Caenorhabditis elegans: one gene and its partners. The protein of the gene in region 4 interacts with the protein of the main gene of each other region in a pairwise test. Each region holds a gene or a part of one and is shown on either strand. Other genes may lie near its edges.

Region 1 (3,503 bases), on a different chromosome or scaffold from region 4:
TCCCTTACAGCTTGCTTCGTCGCATCAATTCCTGTAACATCGAATCCACTTCTGGCCAGTGGAATCGACAAAAGACCCCCTCCGCTTCCAACGTCCACTAATCGAGGAGGAGCCTTCTGATCGCTTTTTCTAACATTATCGACAATCCAAGGAACTCGAATCCTGTTTAATGAGTGAAGTGCGTGGAAGGGACCCAGTTCATCAGCCCATTCTGCAGACAAGTCTCCGAATTTTTCGACCTAAAATAATTTTTCTACAGATAAATAGCTTATTTTTATATGTTTTACCTCTTTTACATCAATAGAAGATACTGAAGCGGCTGAAGTAGTCGAGTGTAGTCGTTGTAGCTTTGCGATGATTCTGGCACTTCGTGAAGGGATCATCTACCAGGAAAAATAAAATTCAATCAAAATAAACAAAAAAAATCGAAAAAGAAATAAAATTAGGTCGTAGAACCTGCCAAATCAATTTTTAAGTCAAAAAATCAGATTTTATTCCTTCTAGTATCAGCCGATTCGATTTAAAATACGAGAATTTACTTTACAATTACACATAAAACACTGAAAAATAAAAAATCTATTCCTTTCCGTTGAGGAATTTGGAGAGGAAGTCCTTTGGCTTGGCTTCGACATTTTCAGCGAACAGGTAGTTGCGCACGTGATCCGGGTTGTAGAATGCGTAACGGATCGATTTCATGTGCTGAAAGTGACAATTAGAGTTTAGAAAATTTAAATTTTATTCAAAAACCTGATGAGTTTCTCCGACAAGTCTGTCAACGACACGAACATCGGTGAGATGTCCGTTCTTTGTGAATTGCTTCTTGATGACAGCACGGAACACGCCGAGCGGCATATCATGAAGTCCGAAATCCCACCAGAACTTTGGAGTGAGACGTTGGAACTCCTTATAAGCGGCGAGAACCGACATGCGTGCCTCGGCGGAATTGTTGGATTTGATTGGAGCGACGGTGCGAACGGCGTGTTGTCCGGCACGGACGACTCTTCCGGCAGTTGCAGACATTATTACGAAAGAGTATCTCCTTTGGTGACACGGGCTTCAAGAAATTCGACCTTTCGTTCCAAAAGGTTAAGCTTGTCGCTGAGAGTCGCTAGTTTTGTGCGGCAAGAGAGCTCTGGAAGAAATCAGATATTTTTTAAAGGAATTAATTTAAAATAATAATTTTTCTACAAACCAAAGCTGGACAAGAAGTTAGCGATGTTCTTGATGTTATCGGCAATAATCTGAAAGTTAGTACGGGTTAGTGTGGGAGATATGAATTCACACATGAATATTTGTTGTAAAATTGTATAAAATCACAACCTACTGAAGTGAAAAGCTATTTCAACACCGCAGTTAAAAATATTCAAAAATTTCAACAACCATTTTTAATCAATTTTCATTCACATTTCAATCGATTTCCATCATTTTTTTCCGTCTACTAACCTGCTCAAACTCGCGATTATCCCAGTCGTCCTTTAGTTGTTGTTGAACGGCTTCCGAAGCGTGCATTCAACGCTGAAAAGCTGAAAAACGGTGAAGGATGGTCGCCGGTGTGCCGCGTGCTGCGTAAATCGACACACTCGATCGCGGCGAAACCCGTCCTCGAAACTGCGTGCGCCTTTGATGTCAGCGGTCGTTCGATTGGCTCCTTGTCGCACTGATTTGGCTTTGGATTTCGTAATTTTCGACGGATTTTCGGGATTTTCTATCGATTTTTTGAGAATTTTCAAGGAAATAGACTGATTATTCATTAGTTTTTTCAAAAATTCCATACATTCATTGAGAATGGGTTAGACAAACGTAAATTCAGATTTTAGAAAATCGAGCAAACTGAGCAAAAAACTGTGTCCGCTTGAGAAATTTGTAAAAATTAAGACTATATTCACTGAAAACTCTTATTGCAATCCGATATTATCCAATGAAACTATCTGCTTTTAGCAATTCTATTGTTTTGAAACGTTTCTCTCAAAATTTTATAGACATCACGTGTTTTGTTGACTATTCTCGATGATTCATTGGTTTTGATTTCGTGAAAGTTACTGCAAAATAAATTTTGCGATAAGGAAAATCAATATTTCTACTTGTTTTTTTTTCAACAGCAAAAGCGAGCTTGCTCCAAAATTAATAGCGGTTTTCCGTTAAACCCTTCTGTTTTTCTTTGTGCTCTCTCACACACACACCCTTTTCAATCGAATTGCACTTTTCAGGAATTTCCTCATTCAACATCAATATTCAAGATGTTGGCTATGGTGAATAAGGTTCTCGACTGGATTCGCAGTCTTTTTTGGAAAGAGGAGATGGAGTTGACACTTGTTGGGCTCCAAAACTCTGGAAAAACGACATTTGTCAATGTTATTGCTGTTAGTTTTTCTGGAAAATAAATTTAAATTCAATGTTCTTCACTTTAGAGCGGCCAATTCACAGAAGATATGATCCCAACAGTCGGATTCAATATGCGGAAGATCACCAAAGGCAACGTGACGATCAAATTATGGGATATCGGGGGCCAGCCACGGTTCCGCTCGATGTGGGAACGATATTGCCGCGGTGTCAACGCCATCGTCTTCATGGTGGACGCTGCCGACGAGGAGAAGCTCGAAGCATCCAGAAATGAGCTTATGCAGCTGTTGGACAAGCCACAGCTCGACGCTATTCCAGTTTTGGTGCTCGGAAACAAGAAGGATTTGCCTGGAGCACTTGATGAGCGGCAATTGATCGAAAGAATGAATCTGTCATCAATCCAGAATCGCGAGATTTGCTGCTATTCTATTTCATGCAAAGAGAAGGAGAATATTGGTAATTTTTTAAATCTTTGAACCATTCTAAACTGAATTGTTTTCCAGATATCACCCTCCAATGGCTCATCGATCACTCGAAAGCTCAACGCTAAACTAGGCACAATCCACGACTCAATCTACTCGAAAATTTACAATTCACACCGCAAAATATATTAAATCAAACCTTTTTTTTTTGAAAATTCTGTAGATATTATTTATTTGAATCCCCTCCCCTCCATATTCAACTAATCTCTCTCGTCTTTTTCATCACAATTGTAGTCAATTTCCCCAACCCATTCGCTCCCAGTTTTATTTCTTTGGTAGCTTTCACTGTGGGATGTTCATCATCCCCATTCAAAAGTTGTGAAATTTCCCTCCAATTTTATGTACATGTTGTGTATCACTTTTTTGGACATTTTGCAACACCACTGCAACCATTCTCATTATTTTTTACAAATGTGCTTAATTCCTTAACTCTTCTTCACTCTTTTTCATAAATTGAAAATTTACTAAGGCATTTAGTTAACGTGTTGCTCTAGCATTGCAGCCTAATTTTTAAAATTCTAAAGTTGAATGAAAAAAAAGGAAATCAATTATTCCTTCAGTTTCAAAATTCGAAGCAAGCGATGGAATGTGTGAATTGTGATTGTACAGTCAAAACGATGGACAATTTGGATAAAGCGATTCGGGAACTGTTGCAACGTGGCAAACACGTCAATCGAATGA
Region 2 (3,071 bases), on a different chromosome or scaffold from region 4:
GGGCCAAGTCATTGTCGATTCTTGAAGAGTCAGCAAACAAATGTACACGTGGAACATGGCGCCCAAGAGTTGCATTAATAGAAAGAGCCAATGCAGACTCAGCCATCACTGCGGCCATAACTCGTTCACGTGTACCGAGTTCAGTGGCTGCAAATCGAGTTCTTGTAACCTTTGGAGTAGCGTCTTGATTATGAGGAGGCGCTGGCATATCGTCTTGGTGAACCTAAATTTGATTCTTTCATGAAATTTTGTGTTTTTTTTAAAGCTACTCACAATCCAATGCTCAGATAAATCTTTATATACTCGCCCTTTCTCCAGTGCCGATGGTTCAAGAACATTCGTTTCTGTTTCTTGATTCTGACATGATGTAAATGCAGCCAATGAGCTGGTCAAGTCTATACTTGGTGTGGATGAAAAGAAGAAGAGCGCGAGAGCGGCACCTATAAGGAATCCAAGAAGCAAGTGTATGCCTGTTCGACCGCCGCCGACCATTCTTCGATTCTAAAAAAGGAATAGAGAATTATTAAACTTTTTTTCAAAGCCGGTGAAAAACGTACCAAACAGTCAGCAATACGCCTTGATACAATTCCAATAACGAAGTTTTCTTGTGAAGAAGCTCTGAAAATTTACAATAAGAAAGTGAAGTGAACAAGAGCAAATAGTGATGTTTGAGCATGAATGAGCAGAACACAGGTTAACTGATCAAAGAAAAGCGTGAAAAGACAATACGGGTTTATGAATGAATGCAAAACAGTCGTCATAGAAGATGTGTGTGACAATGCTCGTAAAATGATTGCAGGACATGTGAGTGGAGCGACAACCTTCTTCGGTATGCGATGCAGACGGAAGACAAAAAAAACGAGAAGAGGCTGTGATCGACGCCGACGTTGTAAGAAGGTGTTTGAAGAGATAGTCTTGAGTTGAAAGAGACGCAGACATTATGTTCTGTACTTGACCTGACTAACTAAGGTCATTTTAGAAAATTTAATGTTCGAGGACAGTGAAACCGTTAATAACATGCTATTTTGAGAATGTTTTTCTAATTTCTTAATTTTCAAGATTTTATCTCAATTTTAATTGAATTAGGAAATTAAGTTCGAAATATGACAGATAATTCGTGGGAATAATTAAAATAACATATACATTGGAATTATGAATATCTTTTTAGTAGTTTTAGAATGAACATCTAATAACAATCAAATATAGGAAAATCCGAAATAAGATTTTGAATTTAACGGAATTTTGATAAATTTTATTGGTTTGAATCAATAAAATTGTAGAAATAAAGTGGTTTTTTGCAGTGAAACTTAAAAAATAAAAATAAACCGATGACAAGAGAAAAGCGAGAGAAACACTGAGTAAACTGTGCGGCGTGTTTGCGGAAATCGCGTGCCAGGCTTGCAACAGTGCGCGATTCAACTCCGCCCACAAAAAATGCAATTTTATTTTTGCTTTTCCATATTTAACAGTTGTTTTGAGCCCGTTTTTATTTGTAAAATGTATATACTATGTTTAAATCTTTTCGTTGAACATTTAATATTGAATTTTTAAAAATAACTCATATTTTGCTCAATCGATAAACCAAAATTATAGAAAATGCTTCGTTCACTTTCCACGATCTCCAAGTCTACCGTCCGCTGTATGTCATTGACATCCAAAATGGCTGCTGAGCAACCGAGCAAGCAAGAGGTAAGTTGAAAAACAGCGAATTGTGCAATTATGAAATTTTTGTCTGTTTCAGGTTGATGACTTGTTCGCTGAAAAACCACAACATCATAACCCAGAACAAAGACGGCATGCATACAGGTATGATATGAGTTTTACACAAATGTTAAACTTGCATTTTTCTGAACTAGGAGATTAATAATTTGTATCAAAGTTCCTGCTAGAAAAAATAAAATGTCACAATTTTCAAAAGCACAAACGCAACGATTGACAATAAAAATTACTTATTAAAAAGTCGTTCGAATATTGTTGTAAAATAGCTGTGAAAGATACAATTTCAATTTTGAAAGCATAAAAAAACAAATTTTGAATTCAGATCATATCGATTCAAAATTTATTTATTATCACTATTTCAGTGTGAATAAAGTGGAACTAGTCGGAGGAGTCGCCTTGGATCCATTGTACAAGACTGGAAGGAACGGAAAACCTTACCTCATCTTCAATATCATCACCAACTCGTACTTCAAGCAGCAAGACGGAACTACTCTCGATCAAACTGAACGTCACGCCGTTTCAGTTTTCGGAAAGCAAGCCGAAATCCTTTCAAAAACCATCAAGAAAGGATCCCGTCTTATGGTTCAGGGGAGACTTCATTATTCTGGAGGACAGAAGGACGAACAAGGAAACCGTACACAACGCAACACCTACATCATCGCTCAAACTGTTCAACCATTGGCTCGAGCAGCTAGAGAGAATCCAGATCAACATTAATTTTCAAAATTTTTTAAATATTTAGAATCTCCGATAATAGACCATTGTTGTTGTTTTTGTTGACGAGTTATTTACCTGATTAAACATTATCTCATATTTAAAAAAAAAAGTTTTATTTGATTGCATACCTGGTTTTCTAACCATATTTATTATCTGATCGTTCTTTGAAAGTTCAGCTAAATCAACTTTTGATAAGAATCGGAATTCACTACACTGTCAAAATATTGATTTTTCGTTTTTTCCTCATCATTCCGTCTCTCGCCAGTTGTTCCTCCGAAACAACACAATATCCCTCCCTTTTTCTTGTTTTCTCTCGGGCACTTTGAGCCAATGTTTTAAATTGTTGAAGCAGTTTCACACGATTTAATCGATTTTTTTGTAGAATTGGGAAACCATGAACCGATCTGGACAGCGCTTGATTGTCTCTGCACCTCGGCAGATCGCCTTTTCCACTGCTGTCAGGTATGTGATTGTTTTTTGGTTATGCATTACGTGCAAATAATTATATTTGAAATCATGTTATTTTTTAAAATTTCTATATTCTTCCGAATTGTTTTTTTCCTCCACTATTTTTCTATTGAGATGTTGTTTATCATGTATTCCAAATTCCTAAAAATTGTAAGATACTTTCTAAA
Region 3 (4,602 bases), on a different chromosome or scaffold from region 4:
TACAAAACCCTATATCATATTCCTCTTTTCTCCCAACACCAACTATCATTTCCTCGTATCGTAGAACCTATTAATATATCAAACACCGTATTTATTCCAATATTCAAACACATTTCCCCGAGAAAATGTCGCGAATTTGTCACGCGTACAAACTTCTGATACAGCAGCGAAAAGAGTGTGACGACTTATCGCCTTCACAGAATGATTGGTATTCCAATTCCGTGTTAATCAAAAGACAATTGCCGCCGTCGAAAAACCCAAGAAAGTGTCAACACTGGATTACTGTAGGATGGGCGTGAAGACTAACGGAAAGAGCAAAGTTTGTGTTGGCTCCATGCTGTTCTGTTACATAACTCAAGTAGATTGACCTCGCGCCAGTTACATAATCATTATCAGCTTGAGATTTATGAAGTGAAAGGTGTCAGTGTGGGGGGACTGACTGGGGCTGTTTGTACTTGGAGCCATTAAAATTTAACGACGTACGGTGTGAGGACTGATAACGGAGGTGATATGTGTGTGTTGACCAATGTGTTGTGTTTGACGCTTGATGAAGCGACACTAATTGGCGAGAATACAGAAGCAGGTAACATTTCATGGAATGCTATAGGACAGAAAGTTTGATGATAGCTGCGCCGAATGATTTGGGCAGATTAGAATCTTAGCACGGAATACTGTACACTGAAAACGAAAAATCCCCTTTCATAGTTACGAAATTTTGTTCAAAAGGGCACACTAACACTATGAAAAAGAAGAAATCAAGTTAAAATACTATTTCAAATTTTAAAAAAGTTTAACGAAAACGATTATTCAGTTCAGCGAAATCGCGGTACCATCTTTTGAATTTTAATTTCGTTTTTGCATTTAATTTCTAGTATTTTCAAGTTACAGACTATGATTGAATTTACCGTTTCAGTCAATAATCTTCATACCTACCGTACTCCTTTTTAACTTCATAACACAATAGAATCTAGCATATTTGTGTATTTCATTACGTGCTCGCTGCCTCTGCTAACTGATAACCAACAAATAGGACCAAACACACTAATACGATAAACTAGGCGCTGGTAATCCCCTTAGTTTTGTCGGCATCTTCCTTTCAACCACCCCACTGTAATACTATTATCAACGTGTCTTTTTTCATCAATTTTATAAGGCTGAAATAAGTCGATGCAGAAGGTGTACAATTCGCCACATTTGATCACCTCCGTCAATTATTTGAAAAAGTGAGCTGTCACCGAACATTGAAAGAAAGAGGAAGGACAAGAAGAGGGACGAGCAAGGTTATTTAGGAAAAAGAAGAATCAATCAAAAGATGGATGACATGAAACACAAGCTAATAAGCGTGTGTAGAGGATATTGGGTAATATGTAACTCAAGGACAATACTACCGAAAAAAAACAACATTTAGATTATGTGGTTACTGTAGTTTCGAGAATTGAATGAGGATTTGTTTTTACCACACGAACCGTAGTTTCTCGATTAGATTCTCGTTGAATTTATTTTCCTATGAGATCTATGAAGAGGAATGTGAAAAAGTTTTCAGTTTTTGGGTCCTGGCACGAAAGAAACTATTCGACTATAGTAACCTCGAGCTATTTGTGTGATTTGAAAGTTAAAAATACGGTATATGGTCTCTACACGACAAGTTTTCGCTAAATGAAAAATGATGTGCGGTTTTACGGGGTACTGTAATTAATTTCAAATTATTGTTTTAAAAATCTATGAATATTCCGCGGCAACTACAGTACTCTTTAACTTGTCGTGTTGAGACCAGTCATCGTTTTTTTGGTACAAAAATCACATAATCTCACGTCTGGAAAATTAAAAAACTTTTTAGAATATTTTCAATATTTTTCATTAATTAGTGTAAAATTATCTACCATACTCTCGGCTACGGTAGCTGGAATATTTCACTCGCATCAGGACCAAATGGTGTTCTAAAAGTCACTTTTTCAAGAGTAGGTAATTAAAAATTTTGAGAAAGAATTTTTGAAACTCAAAAAACATTTTTAATTCAATTTTTGAAGTATATTTTGAATTCACCAAAAGAAACTCACTGAGCAGTTGTCCAATATAATTCGCATTTCGTGCTTTCAACTTATGATCAACACGATCTGGGAAATGGCGGGAAACATTGACAAGCAGACGAGAGGCAACTGACGAATACAAGGCCTGAAAGAAAAACACTTAAAGTCGGGGGATTACGAGTACTTGACACAACTACTACTTATGGTATAAGGTTACCACTCGTTCTTTTTATCCAAAATATTAGTCTTTCTCTATATTCTTATTGTATTTATATTAACCAGAAACGAAATTTCACAATTTTTGCGCAGAAAATACGGTACCCGGTCTCGAAGCGACATTTTTTTTCTTAAATTCAAACGGATGCGCACCTTTAAACACTACTTCAAAATCTCGTTTCTGCGGAATTTTCTTCGTTTTTGAATAAAAATTTGTTTTAAAAAAAAAAATATTTAAACACTGATATTAACAAGTTTGTGAATAAATTTTCGCAGCAAACGAAAGTTTGAAATTACAGTTTTTTGAGGCGCACATATTCTGCATTTTGAAAAGTCGTGGCGAGACCGGGTACCGTATTTTTGGCGCAAAAAACGCAAAATTACGCGTCTATGTAATATTATGAAAGCGTTGAATATTACTTTAAAATTCCCTTACATTAGTAACAACTGCAGTATAAGCAATTTCCACACATTTTGATTTATCCAATACAAAATCAGCGGCTTCAATGGAACCAGAAGTGAAGTTTGTGAGAGCTGCCAGAGTTTCAGTTCGATCCGAAGAAGTTGCTTCACATAACTGACAAATCGCTTTTCCCAGAGCAAAATCTTGAGCTTGGAAGTATTTTCCAGCAGATCCATCGAGCGGTGTACCCAGTTGAGTGACAACTTCCATTGTTTTACGACGAACAATTAATCTGGAATTGGAATTTTCAATTAAGAATAATAACCTCAGTTCTTACGACATAGTCGGTGAGAGGAGCTTCACCAAATCATCGACGCTTACTTCCAGGTCAGTCATCTAGAAATAAATAATTATTTTTAAATTCAGGATTTCATTTCAATTCGTTTTTAAATTTATGTTATATTTCTTCCGATTATCACTTTTTAAATACATTTTTCACACAACGCCTGATTTATTTCTAGAACCCCTTGAGTTTTCTATCTCTAGTATGAACTCAATTCTCTAAACTTCAAATTCCCTGCTAGACTGCAACAAATTTTGACGTCAAAATCAACTTGTCACACCCATAGTCTAGTTAACAATCACTTCAATTCTATTTTACAGTATACCTCATTCGCCCACCCGGGTACGCGTCCTTCTCACCGACAAACATCTCGAATCTTGCAGCTTCAGCGCCAATCCTCACAGTCGGCCACTTCAAAAGTGCGCGAATGTGTAAGGTGGCGGGTTACTGTAAGTCTTTTGCGGTTGAGAGTGAGAAATTGGGGACAAAAAGTCAGGTTGAAGTGTGCTTTTCGGACGTTGCGGCTCGTGTACATCTCACACTTGATGTGCACAAAAGAACGGACACTCCAGATTGAAAAAAACTAGAAAAGGGTTCCTGACTACCGTAATCCAATGGGATATGCATGGTGATTGTTGATGCAACACTACTTTGGAAAACAAACGGTCCAGAGTTACGTCATCTACAAGCAATGGACCACCGGATAATGTGGACAAAGTTGCATAATCAGAGTTGAATATCTGGTTGCTAAGACCGATTAATGCTATTTGGATGTTTATCTCCCCAAATTTCAATGTTGATCAAATAAAACTGAAAACTTGATGGAATAAATATCAAGTTTCATTTTATATTAATTATCTAAATTTGATAAGTTTAAACAATAGGGGAGCTTCACAGTGAAAACCCATACATTTCAAACCCCATGCCACACTTCGTCCACACGGCTGTTCCTAATCCAAGACCTCTTCGTGTCATAAAATATTAGATGTTTCCATTTTCCTGACACAATCCATACCATGGGTGTTTTATACCGCATTACACTTGATAATAAACGAGGTATCAGGTGTGAACAAAATGGTGAGGAATTGCTTATAAATTTGACGGAAGAGAATAGGGAAAAGGATTACTTATTAGTAAAAGCTAAAGGGGATTATTATCTAGATCTAGAGATTCTTCGCATCGAATGATTTTCAACATGCTCTTGAAGGATATGACTGTTATTGCACAACAGAAAACAACATGATATCATCAAACATGTGTTCATGTAATAACATCAAAAGAAGCATTTGGTTGCGAAGCGGAACCATTTTCAGTTTGAATGAAAAATATGAGTTAATCGCACAGATTATGATTTTAAATTGCTTTTTAATTGGTCGTGTAGAATTATCGAATAGGATCTGACTTTTTGACAATTGTATCCGAATACGAGTCTAGAATTCCAATTCCAAGTAAATTCAGAGTTCTCGCTCATTTATCGTAAACAACAGACTGACAGCACACTTTCAGTACAAAAAGCCGCTTTTTTTCAAATCTTCTGATCCGGATGCACAGATTGACCTGTTGCCGTCACCAAACAACATCTTCATCTTCAGAAGATGCGTTGAATTGCGCAA
Region 4 (6,951 bases):
CCGAGTACGGGCGTTACGTCTTTTTTATCCAACACTATCTGGCAATCTATCGTTTATTAATCCAATAATGCTATTAATGATGAATCGGGATGTTCAGAGCGCGTTTTGTTGCCGGTTTAAGGTAGGTCTCATGGCAGAGAATGGCAGAGAAAAACCTCTTCCACGGCCACGTGTCGATTTACGAAGCTTGTGTACTCGTAGTGGAAAAGTGTGAATTTTTTGTAGAGGATTTTGCAGTACTTTTTTCGCCGAAAATATTCATTTTGCGCAGTTTCGCCAAATTTTTTGTATTCGACGTTAACTGCAAAAATTGACGAAATTAGTGCAAAATCAAAGATTTACGCCCAAAAAAAATTCCCACTTCTCCTCGAGGAGTACACGAGCCGCGTAAATTGACACCGGGCAGTGTACGAATAAAGCTCACCCAAAAAACTGTGTATTTCAGAAATCCCAAAGCACCGTGTCAATGGCGCCCAAAATTGTGCAGTCAAGTACTAGAGATCGATGTTGAGGGAATTTTTATTATAATAAAACTTTATTGATTCAAAATTACTATTAAAATTGACACATACACACGCACGGAGAACCGTAAAACAAATTCAGATCGGGGGAACGAGGGAATGAATATTTTAAAAATTGGGTGCGGGGGACGGGATTTTGCTTTTAAAAAACTCCCGAAAATAGTATGAAAATCATCAAAAATTGTTAAAAAGGGAAGTGTTGATAATTTTGCTAATCTGCGGCGGGAGCTGTTCAGCATAATTCGGGAAAAAAATTCGGAAAAATGAATTCGGATTTTTTTTCCAAACAAAAAAAATATTTTCAGACTATTTTGGGAATTTTGAAGCAATTTTAAAGCCCCGTAATACAAATATAAATTATTCTCCACCAAGCAGAGTCTGCTCATCGAGATCCAATAGTTGACTCGGTGATATCATATCAGTTGGCTCGGCGAGCAGCAGATCCTCCTCAGAGAACTGATTGCAGGCGGCAATGCTAATTTCATCGGACGTTGATTCGATTGTCGAGGAAGTGATGAGATCTTCGGATGAAATGGATGGTCCGGGTCCTGTTGATGGTGCTGAAAATGTCAGTTTCACGTGGTGTCAGAGTGTCTCATTTCGGCTTGATCTACGTAGATCTACAAAAAATGCCGCAGACTTCTCAATTAATTTCGCATGGTTGAGAACGTGCTGACGTCACACTTTTTAGGCAAACAAATCGCGCATTTTTGTGTAGATCAAACCGTGATGGGACAGCCTGACACACACAGACGTAAAATTTTGCACCAAAAGTTCGGTACGTACGGTCTCGACACGACAATTTTTTGCGCCTTTTCTCACTGAATAAAAATTTGTTGTTTCGAGACCGAGTACAGTATTTTTTGCGCCTGATTAATATCTCACCTTCAGTTGTCCCAAAAAGCGGCACAACCATCGCTGGGAGCCGTTCGAACGGCTTTCTCTGATGCCACGTCACAGGTGAATCTACGGGCGGTCCACTAGCCGGCCGAGCCGGGCGTTCGGGCTCTTCATCAAGCCTGATCTTCACTTGAATAGTCTTTTTAAGACCTTCCATCTTCGTTGGATCCGGCCTCATTGGAGTCTTCAGATAGGCTGGAAGTTCCTCGAGATTCTGAACCACTGCATCCTCCTCTTCCTCCATCATTATTTGTTGCTGCTCCTGCTTCAACTTTTCAGCTTTCAAATGCTCAATTTCTTCTTCCATTCTGGACAGCTGCTTCTCGTACGTCGTTTTGATAGTCTCTATGGCAATGTATATTGTTTCCTGGAACTTGTGAAAGTGATTAGAATTTTTCCCATTTTTTCCGGTTTTTTGTCAATTTCCTGCTAAACCTACCACAGTCATCTCATTGTGCACCGCCGGTTTTTCTTGTTTCAATCGTAACTCGAGTTTTTCGATTTTATCATTTGCCGCTTTTAATAAGGTTGCTGATTTGTAGTTTGCCAATCTGATCTCATCTTCTTTCCGGATGAGCTCTTCTTCGATATTTCTTTTGTCAGTGATGCTCGAATTCTCGAGCTGCTGAGAGCTGTCAAGTTCTCGGAGCAGACGTCTGAAATTAGTTTACGGTTTTCTGAAACTTAAACTTTTTTTAAAACTCAAAACTCACTGAATTTCTGCATTGGCCAATTGCAAATCCGCCTCCGCCTTCTTCACATTTAACTGAGCACCTTGCACGAACTTTTGACGGGCTTCCATTCTGAAATCTCGTCTTAAAAATGCGTTCCATTAGAAAAAAAAAATTTTTTTTAATTGTGGTGACAGTTATGAACTCGCGGAGCCGTGGAAGCAAATCCGCAAGTCTTCGAACTTCCCGTACTATTCTCTTGCATCCTTATTAAATCATACCAACCCATTGAAAGGAAAGGCGTAGAGTGCAAGGTGCATGCGGCAGCGGGGGTCGAGCCGAACCCCAGCCGTCTGGCAGTCAAGCGCGTTACCGCCTGCGCCACCAGTGTAACAGCCTCCGTGCTGTCTACTTACTCTTCATGCTGCTGACGATTTTGCGCCACTACCGTCTCGCATTTCGTCTTGAGCGCCGCATTTCGTTCGTTCAGAGCGTTGATTTGTTGGCGAACAATTTCTGATTGATACGTTATTGCTCGGATTTCCTGGAATTTTTTTTTTGGTTTTCAAATTTTCCGTTAAATTATATATAAAAACCTCCTCTTTAGCTTCCGTCGCATTTCTCGCCTGGGTAACATCATCTCGGAGCATCCGATTCGCCACTTCTAGTCCATTAATTCGCTGAAAGTATTATAAACATTTATTGTCCATTTACGCAGGTCGTGTACTCCCCGAGGAGAAGTAAGAATTCATTTTTCGAAAAATTTCACATTTTTTGGCTAAAATTCTTGCTTTTCAACCATTTTTTGCCAGTTTTTGAGAGAATTTTCAGCTCTTACATTTGCCATTTCAACTTTCGAATCATTCATCATTCTCCTCTCGGACATTATCTCGTTACATCGTTTGTTGGCTTGATCTCGTTGGATTTGAGCATTTCTGAGCAAAAAATCGATATATTTTTCAAATTTTCTTGATATTTGCTATAATTCTCCTAAAATATTACACATCAGCAAAAAATGCGACATTCGCGGTCTCGAAACGACAATTTTTGTTAAGTTCGAAAAGGTGTGCGCCTTTAAAAAGTACTGCAGTTTCAAACTCCCATTTTTGCGGAATTTTATCAATTTTTCACGATTCGTAGATATTTAGGTGTTTTTATTGTTCTAAATAATTGAGTTGTTTCAACAAAAAAAATCGCTTTTTATCGAAAAACTGTGAAAAATCAATTTATTTGTAAAAAAACCCCTAAATATTTACGAATCGTGAAAAATCTATGAAAAATTGATAACGAAAGTTTGAAACTACAGTACTCTTTAAAGGCGCACACCGTTAGAATTTAACAAAAATTGTCGTGTCGAGACCGGGTACCGTAGTTTTGACACGAAATTCGAAAAATTTTGCGGCTGCGTAATATTTTCATCAAGCAAAATCACTATCTGAGTAATCATTAAAAAATTCTCGAAAAACAGAAAAAAAAAAGATTTTTCAGCAGAAGCATGGCCTTCCAGAGTCCCTCGTATCTTGAAATGGCAGAGCTGGGAACCTCGGCCGCGGCCATGACCGCGACGCAACTGCTCGCGGAGCGGCTTGTGATTTTTTTTATCATTTTAGCTAATTTTTTTGATGAGCCGCTCCGCGCATGCAGCTGCGTCGCGGTCGTGGCCGCGGTAAAACTCTTCCATTTCAAGGAGCAGAAGAAGCTATTCATGTAATCACCGCAATTCTTGTTGGAGCATTTGACACCGCTGAGCTTCAATTTGTTGACCGCCTTGCGCGGCGTTCAACGCGGCTTTCAGCCGATGAATTTCGGCTTCCAACATATTATTCGTCTGCAAAAGCTGTGACGCCGAGTAGCCCATTGGTTGTGGTTGTACGGTTCCAGGCGGGAGTCTGAAATTTTTGAAAATTGAAACTTTTGGAAAAATCCGATTTTCGGGCAATTTTTCGCGAAATTTTCCTGGTTTTTCCCCTATAAAAATCGAGAAATATGGAATTACAGTAATCCTTTTTGTAATTAAAAATCGATCGTTTCGAGACCTGAATAATAACAAAAAAACCAACCCAAAAGCTGGATTAATATGAATTCCAGCCGTTCCATTCCGTTCGTATGATCTACTGCGGCTCCGTGTACGGGATCGACGCTTGTGTCTATGCTGAAATTATTGATTTTTACGGAAATTTTTGGGACTTTGTGTACTCCTCGTGGAAAATGATATTTTTGCAAGAGGATTTTTTCGATTTTTTCAAAAAAAAATTTTTTGGCTTTTTTTTTGGAGTTTTTAGAAAGCAAATATAGAATTTCTGGAATTTTAAAAAAATTTTTTTTGAATAAATCAACAGATTTTGAGGATTTTTTTCTGGTTTTTTCGATTTCTGGCGTTTTTTGGGAAAAATTACAATTTTTCAATATTTTTAGTAATTTCTCAGCTTTTCTCATCAAAATCCACAAAATTCTGATTTTTCACGGATTTCTGGCTTCCCTCATAAATTGAAATGGACGAGTTTGCCGAACTAGGCCATTCTGGCTCGGCCATATCTGGGGTAGATTTACGGCGCGTTGCGTGTCGCGTCGCGGCTCGTTCTTACTTTTTGCGTTTTTTTTTCGTAAATTTTTTTTTGAATTTAGGATTTTAACAGAAAAATACTTAGAAAAAATCAGCGAAAATTAGCGAAAATGATCCAAAATCAAGAATTCCTGCCAAAAAAAAAACTGAAAAAATCCTCTTTTCCTCGTGGAGTACACGAATCCCGCGTAAATCCACAACCTTCTTATGTCTGCGTCTACTATCTCTATCTCTCGATCCACTACGGCTTCGTCGTCCGCTGTCCATGATAATGACCCGTTTTGTCTGAAAATTTCTGAAAATTTCTTTTCCATTTTTTTCCAACTATTTTGGTGTCAATGATACAATAATGTCAGTCTCTGAGCACTGAAAAAATTCGTCTAAAAATCGCACAAAGAATTCAAAATTTGGGGGAAAAAGTTCAATTCAATCGATATATGGTGTGTATGTGTGTGTGTATGTTTGTGTATATAAATACAAAAAATTCATACAGAGAGAGAGAGAAAGAGGGGGAGAGAGTGAATTTTTTTGTTTCTTCGCAATTTTTGGGACATTTTGAGGAGGAGGGGGATCTTTACAACACTAATATTAAAAAATATTCCATACATTATTTTTGGTATTGATATTTGATACTACTAGAGACAACAGACATACAAAAAAAAATAAAACGGGGCACAAAAAAATGTATATTTAAAAATCTGAAATAGTTCAGTAATATTACCCAGTTGCGGAGAAAATATCGATTTTTGATTAAAAAAGGTCTCGACGCTATCGTGCGCCTTTAAAGGGGTGCTGTAGCAAATTGTTTTTTCGCGGCGAGACCCTAATTTTCCGCCAAAAATCACCATTTGTTCGCAACTCGATAATAGAATTTGGGATACAACAAAAATATTATGAATAGAGAAAAATCTGGAATAAAATATGTGGAAAACGACGACGAGAGAGAGAGAGAAAGGGAAAAGTGGAGAGGGAAAAGAAAAACACGAAGACATGGTGAGCAAAAACACGAATTTTCAGAAAAGAGGGCGAAAAATGGAAGAAATTCAATAAAATTTGGGGGAAAAAAGGAAAAATAATAAAAAAAGAGAAAAATAATATTAATGATGGCGTTTATTTTTTGGTTGGGGTGGGGTGGGTAATGTGTGTGATTTAGCGGGTTTTCGGGGATTTGTGTGTGTACAATTATCGATTGATTTTATTTCAAATAAAATGGTTTCGATCCAGCAGCAGAAGACGAGAGAGTGTGTATAAGAAGGAGACGCAGAGACGGAGAGCATTTTGGAAAAATAGAAGAGGTGCTTATCATCATATATATCACCATTGATATCGAGTTTTTTTTTTTGAAGAAGAAGAATAAGAAATGATTGATAGGAGCTTTATCTGAAAAAATATAGATTTTTTTGGGTCTTGAAGCGATTTTTTTGACGGGAAAAGTATTTTTTCGGCTAAAACTTACGGAAAGTCAATTTTTTTTTCAAAAATTCGATTTTTGAAGCGATTTTTTTTTGACTTAAAAATAAATTTTCCAACCAAAAAAATTCCAGGAATTTTAATTTTTTAAATGTAAGATATTGTGTGTCGATTTACGGTGGTCTTGTGTACTCTCCGAGGAGAAGTTTATTTTCAGTGGGTGTTTCGCTTTAAAAAACTGGATTTTGGACCATTTTCGCAGATTTTTCTAATATTTAGCATTGAAATCGCAATTGTTCGGTTCTTAGGTGAAAAATTGGTGAAAATCACACATTTTAGGATTTTTTTTTCGATTTTTCAGGTTTTTCAGTGTAGAAAAACCAAGAAAAAACTCGAAATTTCTCGCTGAAAAATCTTATTTTTTTTATTGAAAAAAAACTGGCGAATTTGAAATTTTGTTGATTTCAATGAGAAAACCATAATTTAAAAAAAAGAAGTTTTTTTTTGGATTTTTTTACAAAATAATTTATTTTTCGTTTTTTTTTGGAAATAAAATTTTTTAACTGCGAAAATGCTCCAAACCGAGCATTTCAGCCAAAAAAAATGTCCAAAATCGTCAGTTTTAGCTTCTTCTCCTCGGGAAATACACGTAAATCCACATTTCCATGCTCCAAAATTGCTCACTTTTTAGCCGGCGTCGTCGTTTCTGATCCTGTTGACGATTTCTTCACTACAGATGGAGATTTATCACCGCCACCTGCAGTTGCAACTGGCAGTGGCGTCATATTTGGACCGTCCTGAAATTGAATTTTTTTTTAAAAAAAATTATTTACAGAAACAGATTTTTACAGAAAAATCGACACTTTTTGCAAAATTTTTTCATTGA

The links.
Region 1: the proteins of W08G11.3 (region 4) and Y57G11C.1147 interact in a two-hybrid assay, tested with the Caenorhabditis elegans proteins (one large-scale study listed by BioGRID).
Region 2: the proteins of W08G11.3 (region 4) and mtss-1 interact in a two-hybrid assay, tested with the Caenorhabditis elegans proteins (one large-scale study listed by BioGRID).
Region 3: the proteins of W08G11.3 (region 4) and Y54H5A.2 interact in a two-hybrid assay, tested with the Caenorhabditis elegans proteins (one large-scale study listed by BioGRID).

What each region holds. Positions count from the first base shown.
Region 1 is NC_003282.8:14,795,942-14,799,444, forward strand, and holds Y57G11C.1147 (Protein BRICK1), read right to left. Parts: upstream 1,574-3,503; 5' UTR 1,510-1,573; coding exon 1,444-1,509; intron 1,242-1,443; coding exon 1,193-1,241; intron 1,133-1,192; coding exon 1,023-1,132; 3' UTR 1,021-1,022; coding exon of another isoform or gene 748-1,020; intron 700-747; coding exon of another isoform or gene 577-699; 3' UTR 501-576; downstream 1-500. Other genes in the region: coq-3 (Ubiquinone biosynthesis O-methyltransferase, mitochondrial), read right to left, coding at 9-239, 288-383; nuo-3 (NADH dehydrogenase [ubiquinone] 1 alpha subcomplex subunit 6), read right to left, coding at 577-699, 748-1,020; arl-8 (ADP-ribosylation factor-like protein 8B), read left to right, coding at 2,238-2,360, 2,409-2,796, 2,844-2,890; Y57G11C.14 (uncharacterized protein), read left to right, coding at 3,404-3,503.
Region 2 is NC_003281.10:8,766,718-8,769,788, forward strand, and holds mtss-1 (Single-stranded DNA-binding protein, mitochondrial), read left to right. Parts: upstream 1-1,593; 5' UTR 1,594-1,596; coding exon 1,597-1,689; intron 1,690-1,741; coding exon 1,742-1,806; intron 1,807-2,081; coding exon 2,082-2,436; 3' UTR 2,437-2,526; downstream 2,527-3,071. Other genes in the region: Chondroitin sulfate synthase mig-22, read right to left, coding at 1-223, 274-492.
Region 3 is NC_003281.10:5,146,537-5,151,138, forward strand, and holds the start of Y54H5A.2 (Protein HGH1 homolog), read right to left. Parts: upstream 3,043-4,602; coding exon 2,984-3,042; intron 2,939-2,983; coding exon 2,680-2,938; intron 2,173-2,679; coding exon 2,058-2,172; intron 1-2,057.
Region 4 is NC_003283.11:16,365,680-16,372,630, reverse strand, and holds W08G11.3 (Trichohyalin), read right to left. Parts: upstream 4,951-6,951; 5' UTR 4,923-4,950; coding exon 4,857-4,922; coding exon of another isoform or gene 4,854-4,856; intron 4,245-4,853; coding exon 4,153-4,244; intron 3,982-4,152; coding exon 3,808-3,981; intron 3,028-3,807; coding exon 2,931-3,027; intron 2,773-2,930; coding exon 2,689-2,772; intron 2,637-2,688; coding exon 2,509-2,636; intron 2,413-2,508; exon of another isoform or gene 2,276-2,412; intron 2,225-2,275; coding exon 2,135-2,224; intron 2,078-2,134; coding exon 1,861-2,077; intron 1,795-1,860; coding exon 1,407-1,794; intron 1,082-1,406; coding exon 879-1,081; 3' UTR 519-878; downstream 1-518. Other genes in the region: srv-34 (G-protein coupled receptors family 1 profile domain-containing protein), read left to right, coding at 1-214; Serine/threonine-protein phosphatase 2A regulatory subunit pptr-1, read right to left, coding at 6,032-6,035, 6,750-6,862.